Linked DNA regions of Lytechinus pictus. The main gene of each other region encodes a partner of the protein of the gene in region 2 in a complex. Links are inferred from orthologs where the notes say so. Each region holds a gene or a part of one and is shown on either strand. Other genes may lie near its edges.

Region 1 (7,929 bases), on a different chromosome or scaffold from region 2:
CAACAATAGTCAAATATGACTAATCAATAATAACCTTGTCCTCTGTTAGGACTCCCATGTGTGGGAAAAATAGGGTTGGCAATGTTTGGCTTACTTTCTCTTGTTCTTGGTATAAATGTATCTGGGACAAGCTGAGTTCCCAATAAGAAAACTTAGGCCTGATGAGTGATGCTGAGCTGAATTTTGTGCCAGGACACTTCACTTCAATGCAAAGTTCCAGGACATGTGCAGAGCAAGCACAGCAACAGGTTTTTTTTTTGGGGGGGGGGGGGATAAAACCTGGCCAGGTCTGGCATGTTAATGAAAGTGTGTGCTGGGCATAATTTGACCTGGCAACATCTACAAAAGTCTGATGTCAATAATATTACAATAGTCTCGACTTGCACAAACAAGTTTAAAAAAAATAAAACACTTTGAATTGGTGCACACAATTGGCATTAATGCAATTTCGTATTGGCCGACTACGAGAGAATTTTCCAACCAGCAATTGTTCGCAAATGTCATTAGGAACTTAGTTAGGAAGTCTCTCAATCACATTTTTCTACATAGTACAGGCACAAGGCAGATCATAATTCATATGCCCATCGCTTTTCCGAATATCGCGATCAGCAGGAACGGCTGTATTTTGGTTGGATGTCGAGGTGATTGTCGAATTTTCAGTCAGACATCACTTGCTTTTGGTCGCTAACTTCAGTCCTTAGGCATAGCATAGCCATAGGCATATCAAAATTTATAGTTTTACACGGTATGGCGCTTCCATTTCCAAGCAAAGCAATGTCTGAGTCTGACCGAATCTGACTGAGGCTGAGCTGAGAATGAGACGAGAATTCAACAACAATGAAGCAGGCTTAGGTCCACCCATGGGTTCATATCATCTCGCGTGCGAAGGAATATCAGTCATATGCACGCGACACACACGACAAGTCAAAAAGATAGTGGGCTTTTGCCCACATAAAATATCACCAATAATCTGGTATTTCACATTCTGCTATGACACTTACCGAATCATTTAGATCCTTCCGTGACTTCTCCTTGAAGTTTTTTCTTAAAAATATGTATATTTTCTTGATCTTTAGTGAAGATTTCACGGAGATAAAATTTGGTCAGCGTAGATATCAATTTTCGCCTAAAGAGGGCGCGCGATTTATATTCATATCAAAGACACGACAAGGGAAAGATTAGGAACCTACACTATTTTATACGCAAATCGACGCAAGGCATTACGCGAATTCCGTGAAGTGTCCAATCTTTTCATTGTATAGACTTTGGTATACCATGACGTTCGTTAATACTGCTTGTACTGCTGGTTTCGTTCCAGGCATGTGTATTAAAAAAAATAAAAATTATATTAGTCATCGCTTTAAATTAATTGCAACAAAAGTGTTATCATCGCCAATAGTAATCCTGAATTATGTTTTTGAAGGTATTTTATTTATTGGTGCCCATAATTAGTAAATTAATCATAAGAATTGCGCATTCAAAGAATTTAGACACAGTTATAAAATTACCGAGGAGCTGAATCAAGGTTGTGAAATTTATTAGCGCCACCAACGGGCTTCCTTGTATTTCCGTAGAAGAGACAAACGAAGTCACTTGCTAGGCCGAGGTAAGCGAAATTTGCTCTTTTTAAATGAAATGAGTTCAATATCATATGTATAATTTTGTTATGTATTGCTACTTACCGGAAAGAGCCCCGGTGCGTAGCGAGAAGGAGTTTCGGCAAATATTACTTCAGCAATGAAGCAATGTTTGCCGACTACTTCAAAATCTACGGTCAAACAAGGTCCGGTGTACGAGGTTCGTATATATATACGAACCTCGTATTACTATTAAGTATTAGTGTGAGTGGCTTAGGACAGTAACTTAGGTCGAGATCCAACCAAAATACAGGGATTCCCTATCTCGATATTCTGAAAAGCGGTGGGCTTACTATGACTTGCTATGACATTTGTGAACAATTACTGGTGAGGGAATTCTCTCGAAGTCCGCTGGTGCGAAACTGCATTCGCGCCCAATAAATAGGCTAAATAAAACATAAAAATGAATAGGTGGGACTGGCATTTGAAACCAGCTGTAGAATATAACAGACGTTACATCCAAAATCATATAAACTGCACTAAATAATTAGTATTCTTACATGTCAAATTGGTTATTCATCTCTAGGTCCCCTTGTTGAGGTCTAAATGCAGATAATTCACGGTTGAAATCTCGTAATCTTCTGAATTCCAAGTCATACAGAATGATCCACGCACGTTCACGATATCGATATCGATAAGTATACTATCGGTTTTTTTGCCGGCGCGGCGGCCGGCGCGGCGCGGCCGCGCCGCCGGTCGGGGGCGCCGGGCAGGAGGGGGCCCAGCCAGCCGGGCCGGTGGGGGCTATAATTTTTAGGGTTTTTTTTATTATTATTGTTTACCGGAAGTGTTCACTGTTCAGAGAGGGTGGTTCGTCTAATTTGGGTACATTCATATCCAATTTATGTATAAATTTATACCAAAAATCAATGTGGACGCGACGGATCTAGACCTCTAGATCTACTAGGCCTAATAATAATAATAATAATAACAATGAAAGCAAGAGAGAGCTTTCCTTTAAAATGAACTGGCCCAGCTAGATTAGACTTCGAGATCATTCGATGCAATTAGATCGATAAATATACCCTTTTTTATTGATGAAATATACATGTATTTTTTAAAAATCAATCCCAATCCCATGTGATTTCTCAAGATGAACATTTTTAAGTAATTAAGTTTAAAAAAAAATCGTGTCTGATGTTATAAGCTTAAAAGGTAAGAGCAAATATCCCCGATCCCTCGTGGTGATCTATATCCGAAAAAAAGGTTATAATGACAAGAAAAAAAAATACAGATATTGAGTATGTTTCATTATATTTATGTGTCGTTATATGATTCATTGTCAAACAAAAAGAAATCAGGAAGAAAAATTCGCCTATAATCTGTTCTCAGCAACTGAATGCCACCAATACCAACAACATACCGAAAATGTGTAGGGCCTATACAAAATTATTATATCGTATAGACCATAATATGCAGCAACAACAAAAACATAAAAATGGTAAATAGAATTTAATTCTTTTCAGTGGTTTATTTCATTTCTATATCCATTTTTCAACACACAAATCAGAAATAGACCTTCATAAATACATAGGCCTATCAATTACATAAATAAATAAAAATCAATCATAAAAAAATGAGCTGACACTTGCTAATTGGCAATAACACTGCAAAAAATACAATAAATAAATATCAAAGATAGATAAAACATTTTCAAAAGTACATGTATGAATGTATGCTTAAAAACAAAGAAAAGAAATGTAAAAGAGACCAAGAAACGTGGCTTGTATAAATGCAAGAATAAAAAAAAGCAAAATCACCAAAAATATTAACATTGAAAAAAAATGTATTAATGAATCATACATAGGGCCAACGAGAGAGAGAAAAAACAACTGACAACAGGCGATTAAAAGCATGTTCATGCTAAATTAGCAATGGGGAAAAATAATCCTCACCACCTCACCACCGCTGATTAGGGAAAGTTCACCCTGACAAAAGTTGTAAAAATAGCAGAAATAATATAAAAAAAACATTGGTGAAGGTTTGAGGAAAAACCCTAAAAGAACTTTTTTTTAATTTACTAGAATTTCAATTTTTGGATTTGTGACGTCATACGCGAGCAGCTTCCACATATCGTATGGTAAAAAAGCAAACAAACAATGGAAATTCATTTTCTCATAAAATTGAAAATGGTTTTTATTGTACCTTCGATCAGTATAGGCCTATACCAATCAAAAAAAATATGTCACACCCACTCCTGAAAGAAATCAAACAATTAATGAGTCATCATGAACCACTGCAAATTTAAAATTTATGCATTTTATAATGGGGCAGCTGCTCATATATGACCCAAAAAAATAAAAAAAACTCTAATTAAATATTATAACTTTCTTAACCTTTGATGGATTTTCCTCAAACCTTCACCAATATTTTTATAATTTTTAGGGTGAACTTCCCCTTTAAACAATTTTCATGTTAATAGTTCATATTTCTTACGTTATGAATTTTGATTGAATCTCCTAGCCGGTCACCATTGTGAACTTATTTTTGCGTAGTTTTATATGAGGGAAAATAAATTCGGCTTAAATAGTCAAATTTGACTGAAAATCCGTAAAAAATCACCTAAAAAAGAAAAAAGAGTATATTATAGACCGGCTTGACCAGTGATGTACGAAGGGCCTATACAAATGGGGGGGGGGGGAGCCTTTTGTCAGACCAAGAGAAAAAGAAAGGAAAAAGAGCTGGGTGAAAGATATTATTTTCTGAATATTATGTCAAAATCTATCACAAATTTGGATTTATGTGAAAAGGTGTCAAAAATTTTGCTCGCTCGCTTCACTCGCTCGCAAAAAAAAAAAATTTCCCAATATGCCATATCTGGCCTTCTCAAAATTTTGGGTTCACGTCGCCACTGCATGGCCGGGCTTGACCTTGTATCACGAAAGAGCGTAAAGTATTATTATTATATAGTTTTGATGATAAATAACATTTATTCCGCACCTTGGATATCGCCTTCTTAAAAAAAAATGTAATATATGATTTAATGCATGGGCATGACGGGTCTTGAAAAGGGATCGAGGGGGCTCGGCTAATCATGCAAAAAAAAATGATAATAATTAAAAGAAAAAAAAAACCCAAAACAGATGGTGAAAAAATGGAGGATGAAGCTTCATCTAGTATTCTTTTTTGGTCTTCTTCTTTTGTTTTTATTTTTCTTTGAACTTTATTGAAAGATTGCCTTTCCCCCCGTGGTGGGGGCAAATCAAGGGGCAAATATATGTATTACATACGGTACATTTTCACTCACAAGTTTTTGCCAAATCTATAAAGTAGTCGAGCACCATCTACGTTCACTTCTGTCACGACGAAAGCAAGATGGCGGCTTCCATGACGGCAAAATCAAGACTTCTTTCTCTTGTGGAAGAAGCAGAAGTGTTAACAAAGTGAGATAAATTTGATTATACTGTGTATTTTTGGTGATGTGATGAATACATTTGATGAACGATTTTGGTTCTCTCTTACCTAACTCTTGTAATGACAACTTGGGCTTGGCCTTGTTCAGATGTTGAACGACTCTCGCCTCGCCCTCGGCCCTCGGCCAGCCCAAGCCAGGCAGCCGCGATTGGAGGAGGGAGCCAGCGGCAGCGCTACTACTTTGCTGGGGATTGATATACCATGAAGATGAGAGGAAAGGAAAGAAAAACAGAGCATTAGATTCTACGAGTAAAAGAGAAAGTGCACGAAATGAAATAGAAATGAATAATAACAGAAAAAGAGGAAAAGGGGTGAGAACCCAAGAAGAATAAAACAAAAGGGGCAATAGAAAAAGTAAAGTCAAAATGAAATGGGGAAGTAAGACTAGGCCTAGAGCAAAGAGGAGAGACAGAAAGAAAAAGAAACAATGGAAAGGAGGGATAAACGGTGGGAAAGAGGGATATTTTGTTGGCATACATCTCACTTTATTGCATGCTCATAAGTCGTACTCAGTCATAGACAGCTGGCAGCCGTCTGTTTTGAGGAGTTTTTTAACATTTTTTTTTTTTAAGTTCTCCTCATACACAGACGGCTCGCTAGCGTGCAGCCACCATTAGGGGACTTGCAATGCAAAATCCCCCCGTCGGGGCTCTTCAATTTTTGTCTTTAATCAATAAACATTTTGAAAATTAATGCGACCAAAATGCAAATTGATATTCCCTCTTGGCATTAATTGCCAAGAAACGGTGAAAAATCGAGTTAAAAGGAACAAAAACAGTGACTTACCTCGGCTGTCGCGCAAATTCACTTCCCCGTTTTATCCGATCTTAAGTACATAAACATATGGCCATTGAGTCCCCTGTACAGATCGCGCTAGAACTTCGGTCTCTGTATTTGGTGAGTGAAGCCAACGGAGTTCAGCTGAACAACCAACATAACAGAGACCGAAGCTTTTGGTCTAACTCAGTCATAGACCACAACATTACACTTACAGAACATACTGTATTTTTTTTCTTTCTAATACTGTCAGAATTGCAAACTTATCTGTAAAGGAGCTCTTGAAAAATATTAATTTGTGTTTTTGTTTTTGTTTTTTACACAGAGACCTCGGTGAGGCGACATCAGCAGTTAGGCAAAGAGTTCCTCATCCTGATGAACCTCAAGTAAGTTCTTCTTAATGACTGTGTGACATTAAGCTAAGAATTGAAAAACAAAGCAAAATCTAACAAAACAAAAATAATGGATCAACAGAAAATTCTAATTATTGTTTTTTTGTTGTTGTTGTGTCAATATACTTTATAGTGTAAATATCATATTTTCAGTGTGTATTTTAACTTGGCCCCTTTTTATAAGCTATGCCTTTTCCTGGGTCACCAAACCATCATTTTATGGATGTATGTTTTGGTATTTGTATCGATATGCAAGGCTCGACATTAGCGGTGGCCCGGTGGCCCAGGGCCACCAAAAATTCACCTCGGGCAACCATTATTGATAAAATGTTAAGTTTTGGTGGCCCGAATCGGGCAACCAATAATTTTCAAAGTAGCGCAATTTTTCTCCCAATTTTGCACGCATTTATCAACTTTCTACAGCTCAAATTGCAAGCCAGTTCGTCATGCGCCCTTTTTGTTGATCTACACACAAATACACACACACAAAGTTTGCATATTAGGCCTACAGCTATAGCATACAGCAGCTATTATCCAGCCAACCGCGCCGGCCGGCTGGCGTGAGCTTTGCATGAAGCCACTGAATACAGCTGTGCTCTAGATCTAGCTCAGCCTACTCAGATTCGGGGAGCTGCGATAAAAAATGTTGCTGCTGAGAAATCTTCCACAGAACTTTGAAAATCTCAGTCAAAGTCACATTTTACACCAATGAAATGCAATTCTACAGTCTATATTACGAAAATCTGGTGTACCCTGATTATTTGCAAGTATTAAGAAGAGGAATTATGACCTCTCTTTTGACTCAAAAAGACCGATTTCCACATGAATTAATACACATAAAAACACATCACAGTCCCACATGTGCATTTGTATGTATGTTGATACTTGGTTTCTTTCGAAGCTGTGTATTTTCTAGCCAAAAACAAACAGACAGTTTCTTTCTTTCTTGTTTATAAATGACTTCTTAAACCACTCTTGAGAAAGTAAATACTTTGGGAAGGCATTTCATTGATATGAAATGTGATTTTTTTTCCAACATTTTGGCAAATATAGGGAAGGACTTTTTTCACACTTTTTATCCAGAATCACCAGATATAATTTTTGCCGTTTTCTTATTTTTTTCCTTTCATTTTTTTTGACAGTGGTTAAACCATTTATACCCCTTCCCATTGAATATGCCTGATTAAAAAATATGTTTCTACTGAAAATAAAATAATACAAACTAAAGGATATAAAAATAAAAATGTGCCATTCCCAAAAAGTAAGTGAAAATTATTTGCTTGGCTTTTAATAATTATATTCCAGTCAGAATAGACTGTTGCCACAGCTGTTAAAAAATATATGTAATGGCTTCTTAATTTTCCCCTTTTCCCCATTTTTTTATTAACTTTGTTTTATTAATTTTTCTTTCATTTTCTTTTCTTTTTTCTCTCTAATTTTTTTCTTTTCTTTTTTTTCTTTTTTTCCCTGTTCTTTGTTTTTTTCTTTCTTCATTTTCTTTCTTTTGTTTTATTTCACTAATTTCTTTTATTATTTTTGTTTTCTTTTTGTAATATACTTTTTGAAAATTATTTTCGTTTGTTTCCCCCTTTTATGCATTGTTCTAATTTTGCAGCATATTTTTCTGTGATTTTCTCCTTCTATAATATGCTGCTAAAGAGAAAACAGAAATAAACTGGATTTGGGGCATAATCTAGGTTTTAGGATTC
Region 2 (7,283 bases):
TCCGTTATGCACAAGTATATGCACACTGATGTTTATTTAATGTAATAAAATGCATTATGAGATTCATAATTATATGATGAGCATATTTAAACAGTTATCAATAAAAAATTAAATCAACCAAATATTACGTTCGAACAGGAACTCCAAGATGAAGGTTTTCTATGTCTTCCTCGCTCTCGCGGTCGTCGTCGCCTCCGTTGTCGCCATGGAGGAGGAGGAGAACGAGCTCTTCGATCTGATGGACAAGCGATCGATGGAGGAAGGAGATCTCTTGGAAGAGATGGCCTATGGAAGCGAGCCAATGGTGAAGAGAGGACGATTCAAATGTGAGTAAAAAATAAAATAATAGGATACATAGTAAAAACTTTGTTTAATTTTTTTAATGCATTTTTGTTTACTATCAACCTTACAGTATATGTTGTTTAAACAGTTTTTTTTAACTGTTGTAGTTCTGTTCAATTACTGCAACATGCCGTTTTGATATTTTTTCAAATTTCATTTTTATAATTTAATTTACAATTCCTACACTCGTTTGATATATAATGCATTTTGTTTATAATTTCAGACTGCAAGAATTCCAACGGTGATAACTGTGTCTGTGATCGCAAGTACAGACGTAACAGTAGAAGACGTTATGTCAACTGCAGACCAGCCAACACAGGAACACCCGTTTAAAATTCAAACAACAGACAGGCACCTTTGTATTATGGATGGATAATTAATTCAGATGAGGTATGAAAAAAACATTGTACTAATTTAATTGCCTGAAAATAGGGGGAAATAAAGGCATTTCAGTCGTTGTAGTTGTTAACCATGCATCCAACTTAAAATCCAAACAATATAGACGAAGCATCTCAGTTCGGACTTATTTCTACAGAGATATATTCATGTTTAAAGGACAAGTCCACCCCAAAAAAAAGTTGATTTGAATAAAAAGAGAAAAATTCAACAAGTACAACAGTGAAAATTTCATCAAAATCGGATGTAAAATAAGAAAGTTATAACACTTTAAAGTTTCGCTTAATTTCACAAAACAGTTATATGCACAACTCAGTGACATGCAAATGAGAGAGTCGATGATGTCCATCACTCACTTTTATTTTGTTTTTTATTGTTTGAATTATACATTACTTCAATGTTTACCAATTTCACATAAAGGACCAACTTAACAGAACCATAAGATGTAGTAGCAATGGTAATACCACATGTTCAGGGAGGAATAAAACTTCATTTCGCAAGACAATGAGGAGAATATTAGAATAATTCATATTTCATATTTTTTTTCAGTTCAGTTCAGTTCATTTATTCATTTCTAAAAAATTCAACGAGTACAGATATATATACATAAAAATCAACTTTTTGCTGGGATGGACTTGTCCTTTAATGTGTAATGCCATTTTTTTTTGTCTGTGAATCAAAATGATGATTCACAATTTGTACACTGTTGTTTATTCTAAGTAACTGTTCTGCAATTGCAAGGGATGCATGCTATGCAATTTTGTTTATTACTTTTTCTGTAGAAATGATTAAAAGAATTCGAATTTAAATTCAAAATCATTCATTATATTTACCTTTATATAAGTATAATATTATATCTGATTTTGTGTTGCAATAAATATGGTCATGTTTACTTTTTTTAATAAATTATAGAGCATTCTATCCGGCGGTTTCATTATACTTGAGGTTGCATGGTTCCAAGTCCAGTCGAGTCACACAAAATGTTATGGAAAATAAAATTTTCTCCAAAATAAGATAACTAACCAATCCCGGACTTCCCTCCTATTTTAGCTAAATACTGATTTTGCACTCTGCAAATAAATTTATGATAACAAGATATTATTACTCTCTTAAGTATATACTGTTTCTAATCTTTTGCTGTACGTTGCACATGAATTGACGACGAGCTTGTTTTGTTCTTTGTTTACAGTCCACAACTCTCCTCAAGAAATCTATACTGGTCGTCAAACATCATCTCATTGTTCTCCAGGCAAGCCAGTGAGCAAATTTCGCAGAAAAGATGGAAAACAACATTTTTACTGTTGATGTACAATAAACACCCTGCTCAAGTCATCTCATGTGCACCTAGAGTGTCAATATTTCAGTATTTTGTGTAATATGATGAGTAAAGAGGATGAGGGGGAGATCGATAGATAGATAGAAAAAGAGGGAGAGAGGGGGAGGGAGAGGGAGAGAGAGAGAGAGGGGGGGGGGGGGCTCTCGAGAGAATATGTGCCGTGATAAAATTATCTTCGGAAAGAACTAAAGATGTCAAAACGGTGTTGAAAAATAATTACGCCAATAAGACATTACCTCCTCTTTCCAAATTTAATTGACCCTTAAATTATTAATTCCATGTGGAGCTTGTTCGGTTAGAGTGAGTATTTTCACTATTTGGGTGGAAATCTGTCATATTCATAATTTTGTTTAAAATAAGTTTCAAGATTTTAGCTAATATCTCAAGTTTCAAAAATTGTATTTTGATATGTAACTCATAATGCGAACGTATCGCGAGCTAATTTCTTTTTTATTGTTGCAAGCATAGTACAACACGGAGCTCACAATATTCATGATATTGGGCTAAAAAATCTAATTATGATCTGTAAATGGAATATTCCATTTGATGACATAATGATCGATGTGGGAATATTGTAGAAATTTATGAATACGACATGGATTTCACTAAAGTCTAAACAAATAATACGAGCAAGAAGATATTTAAACTAACCCCAGTAATTTGAGGGGGCATATAGGCCCTATGGGCCCTATGCTAAAGTAAGCCGGTAAGTCATATATATATAGAGCTTATATCCCTATAGTACAGTATCTCATCACTAAAATGATAGATATGCCAGCGCGAAGCCGCGGTTTCTATATCATGAACAGAACACATTTGTCACAAAGAAATCATTATGCATGCATGAGAACGCGAGCGTGCGAGGTGAAATTTTTATTAACTGCATGATCTGAAAATGGGATGTAAACAATGTTGAACATGAACTAAAAATGTGATGCGAGCACGTCGACTTTTCTCATAATAAACCCGACAGGGGAGCATTTTATTAATTATTAAGAGAGCAATGCTAGTTTGTTAAGAAAATCAAGCCAAAAAAGCAAAAAAACCCGTTTCATTCTAATATGAAAATGATTTTGGTCAGAAAAAATTGACTAGTAAAAAAGGTTTTCTCTCCAAAATGAAGGCTGCTTCGGCAGCTTCAGCACCCCCACTTCCCAGGGCAATGAGCCGTGGCCCTCCGATCAGAATTATCGAAGCCACATTGCTTTCTGCAAACATGTCTGATCAGGGGCCCGTTGCCAGCTAGGAGATTTAATATAACAATTAGAAAAATATCATTAAAAAATACACATGTTTTGAAAGTTATTCAAATCAATATGAATAATAATATTTTTTTTTACATTCCCCCTCTATTAAAAATTCATGACATCATAACAAAGGTATAAGTACATTTGAACTTAATATTTTCATAAATTTTACATTGTCATAGGTTATTTTTTTCATAAAAGAAATGTATATACTTAAATGAATAATAAACGGGCCCGGTTTATTAATTATACAGTGCGTCCCACAAAAAACGAAACCGAGATTTATTCAATGATTTATGGCCTACCATTGTAAAGCTTAGAATTTCCTCTTTCATCTGGAATTACTTAGATTATTTAGATTATTATGAAATTATGGAAATACTAGCATTGTTTCGAGAAAACATAACTTTTTTACTTCTGAATCATTTTTGTGAATAAGGTATCAAAAAAAAAGAGCAGATATTGAACTTTTTAGGCATGTGATTTTCTTTTTGAAATTCAGATACCCCCCGCCAAATGAGTTGTTGGTATCCTTTCTTCAAATTGTTTTTGCTCACTCATGCGTGAATGAGGAATAATGTAAATAATATCAGATGAAAGAGGAGATTCTAAGCTGCTATGCTTTACATTGATAGGTCATTTGTCTATTGCAGGGGCCGCAGAACCGGGGGGGGGCTTCACCCCCCCCCCACTTTTTTCCAAACCGTGTACAAAAATGTAAAAATGACCATATGATTGTGATTTTTAGCATGGTCAGCCCCCCCCCCCACTTTTGGCTCAGCCCCCCCCCCCCCCCCACTTTGAAAACCGTTCCGCGGCCCCTGTATTGTATTTATGATTAAGTTATGATAAATCATCGCTAAATCTCGGTTTCGTTTTTTGTGGGACGCACTGTATATAGGCACTATCAATAACCATTAATTAATGGTTCTGTCTCCAATAATGTTACAGCGCCCTCTCTTGTTTTCTAGGCAGACCAAATTGGTGAAAAAGAAAAGATGTCGCTTTTCAAGCGAAGTCCCTCCGACTCTTCTTCAAACTACGGAGGCATTCCTCCAAAAATGCCGACACCGATTCGTCAGAGATCTCCAATGCCAACGAAACAATTCCTGAGTCCACCTAGCGTTGATCCAGAACCGTTTTATCTGCTGAAAGACCCACCACTATCCAATGGTAAGTCGGAAAAAAAATAAACAGACCCACCCGTATAAAATGATGTTATGTTGTAGCCTAACTAGACAACTTGAAGTTGTATGGCAGTGTATCCTATTGCCGGACACCTTTATTTCAGTGCTTTAAAAATGACAACTAGAGGAAATACAATCAAGAAAAAATCACATTTGCTATTCCAAATATTATGAAAATTATGAATATGATAAAATTATTTTATATTTACCAACCATTTTCTTTGCATCGCAGTTGCCGCATACCCCTCCACGAAAAACAATTATTTTCGTGCGCGACAAATTACATCATGATTCCGGACGCGTGCCGGACGGGTAAAGATATCTTTGATTATAATGATGTAAGAACAAATTTGTGTGATTTTTTTCTTCTTATATCATATGAGTAAATTCTAAGTTTTTATTTGCTTTTTATATCGAATCTGAGCAGATGTTGGTAATAAATTCGTGTTTGATAACTTATTTTATTTTTTCTTGTTAGCTGCATGTTCCATGGCACTTTCCAATAATATATGCTCGCGTTCGTATCGTGACGCTCGTCAAGTTCTATCGATGCGCTGCCGATCGACGGCTCTACTCACGGTAAACCTCGCGCACGGGTACCTTGAGAACTAGCCGTCGACGGTCACCCACAATATACCACACCTCATCATTCGATCGAAGGAGTGGACGAGATTGAAATTCGGCAAATCAGGCCCATATTTCCGTTAGAAAATATGTCAATCGTTAATGTAAAACTATGTTATATGCACTTGTTCACTGCAACCATCCTGCCTGTGGAGAATCTACAGGTAGGACTATGGCATGCCAATGCTGTACACAGCACACACTTTAAAAAATGATTAAAATATCACTTTTGTGACCAAAATTACTAATTTCCATACAGTTGCAATTTATTTTTCATTAGTAACTTGGGAATAATTTTTGTATTCACTAGAGCGCTCAAAAACTTGAATTTTGGGCATATTTTTGTGTACGCCCTCTATTGATAGAAAATAATATGGCAAGAAAATTTTCATTTTTTAATCTCTATTTTTAATTAAGAAAAAATAATTTAAAGAATCAAATTTACTTAAGGGCCAAGTTGTATGACGAATAACTGTGATGGAAACTGTCAGTGTAAAAAAAATCAAGCATTTTTCCCAAAGAAAAAGAGAAAATAAGCCAAACATTGCCATCCTTATTTTGCCACACATGGAGATATAACTGAGAACAAGGTTATATCATAACCTTGTTCATTGAATGAGTGGTTATATGATATTTTAAGCATTTTCTGTCATTTTAGAGATAATAAGGTAAAAGTTGGATTTTTTTCGCCTTGTTTTTGCAATCTTGTTCCATGTATTGCTCTGTGAAATTGAATTGCGGAAGTCATACGGTATGAAATTGTTTTCGAACGCAGTAATATGCGCGTCCGGAATCATAATGTGTCCGGTAATACAATACGTGACTATATGATGGGGTGTCCAAACTTCGCGGACTTTTCAAAAATATTCTTCAGGCTTAATTTTGTTCACAAAATATTCACAATTTATACAAAACCAATTCAAGAAATAGTTGACGGCAGGATCATTAATTATAAAATCATTGATGAAAATGTGAAGTAGGTCAAGACAAGGGCAGGCCAAGCAAGGCCGGGTTTCGCCGGTATCGCGATTTCTCAAAATTCCATTCCCATCGACGAATGTGCGCTGTGCTGGAAAACCGCTGACGACAAAATGCCATAGAATCAGTCACTACCACATTTAACTCACATTTTTGATAATATCTGCTTGCAAAATGATGATATCGTGATGCTTGTTGAGAATATCAGATTTTTTCGGAACGGGCGCTAACGGTGACAAATTTGCCGATCTTTTGTCAATATTTTCATGAATACTGAACTCATCCTAAAAAAAATTACGCCACAGGGTAATTTTAAGTCGCTTTTCACGTTGATGATGTCAGATTTTAAGAATATTGTCTAGTTTTCTAGATAATGACCGTCCGCGAAGTATGGACACACGCAAAGTTTGGACTCACTGCCATACGTTGTCGTTGTAGACAGTATGAAGAAGAGGGGGGGTCACCCCACTCACACTAGTACGAGGTTAGTTACCTCAAGCGATGTTCCTGCAGGCTCCACTTCACTACCGCTACACTTACCCGAACATCGAGCCCGTGAACTCGCTCTGATATTCCGAGTGACCGTTTGCGTTTGACAAAGTCAAAGGTGGGATTTTATGGGGGGAAAATATAAAATTCATGCAACATCACGATCTTTAAAAACAATTAAAACTAATATTCTTACTTTACAAAAAGTTTCACTGCTTTTCCATGCTTCTATCAGTCTCAAAATTGGTGATCTAGAGCCAACATAGAGTTCCTCACACGTATTAATAATTCGCTGCCGATTTCAAGACATCGCATGCGCGTGCGTGAGGGTCTGAGCTCGGACCCTCGCTCATGCGCATGCCAGGAAGCCTATTGATTTGGAGGTCAAAAGGTCAAAGATCAAGGTCACAGTGACATGTTTTCATCTTACCCTTCTGAAGTCCTTGTAAACGCGATAACTTCAGTTGAACTTAACCTAGGCTCATATAATTTGGTGTGTATGATACTAGGATGGATCCCAGGAAGCCTATTGATGTTGAGGTCAAATGTCAAGATCACAGTGACATATTTTCATCCTCCCCTCCTGCAGTCCTTGTAAACGTGATAACTTCAGTTGAACTTAACCTAGGCTCATATAATTTGGTTTGTATATTAGCATGGATCCCAGGAAGCCTCTTGATTTTG

What was found. The genes of interacting proteins can lie anywhere in the genome.
Region 1: mediator of RNA polymerase II transcription subunit 19-like (region 2) and mediator of RNA polymerase II transcription subunit 4-like share a complex: the UniProt entries of both Drosophila melanogaster proteins name them as parts of the mediator complex. The link is inferred for Lytechinus pictus from reciprocal best matches to the Drosophila melanogaster genes MED19 and MED4.

Annotation. Positions count from the first base shown.
Region 1 is NC_087260.1:10,322,356-10,330,284, reverse strand, and holds the start of mediator of RNA polymerase II transcription subunit 4-like, read left to right. Parts: upstream 1-4,929; 5' UTR 4,930-4,952; coding exon 4,953-5,020; intron 5,021-6,153; coding exon 6,154-6,214; intron 6,215-7,929. Other genes in the region: eukaryotic translation initiation factor 4E type 2-like, read right to left, coding at 2,138-2,157. UniProt on the Drosophila melanogaster protein: Component of the Mediator complex, a coactivator involved in the regulated transcription of nearly all RNA polymerase II-dependent genes.
Region 2 is NC_087246.1:20,716,608-20,723,890, forward strand, and holds the start of mediator of RNA polymerase II transcription subunit 19-like, read left to right. Parts: upstream 1-4,273; 5' UTR 4,274-4,319; coding exon 4,320-4,494; intron 4,495-7,283. UniProt on the Drosophila melanogaster protein: Component of the Mediator complex, a coactivator involved in the regulated transcription of nearly all RNA polymerase II-dependent genes.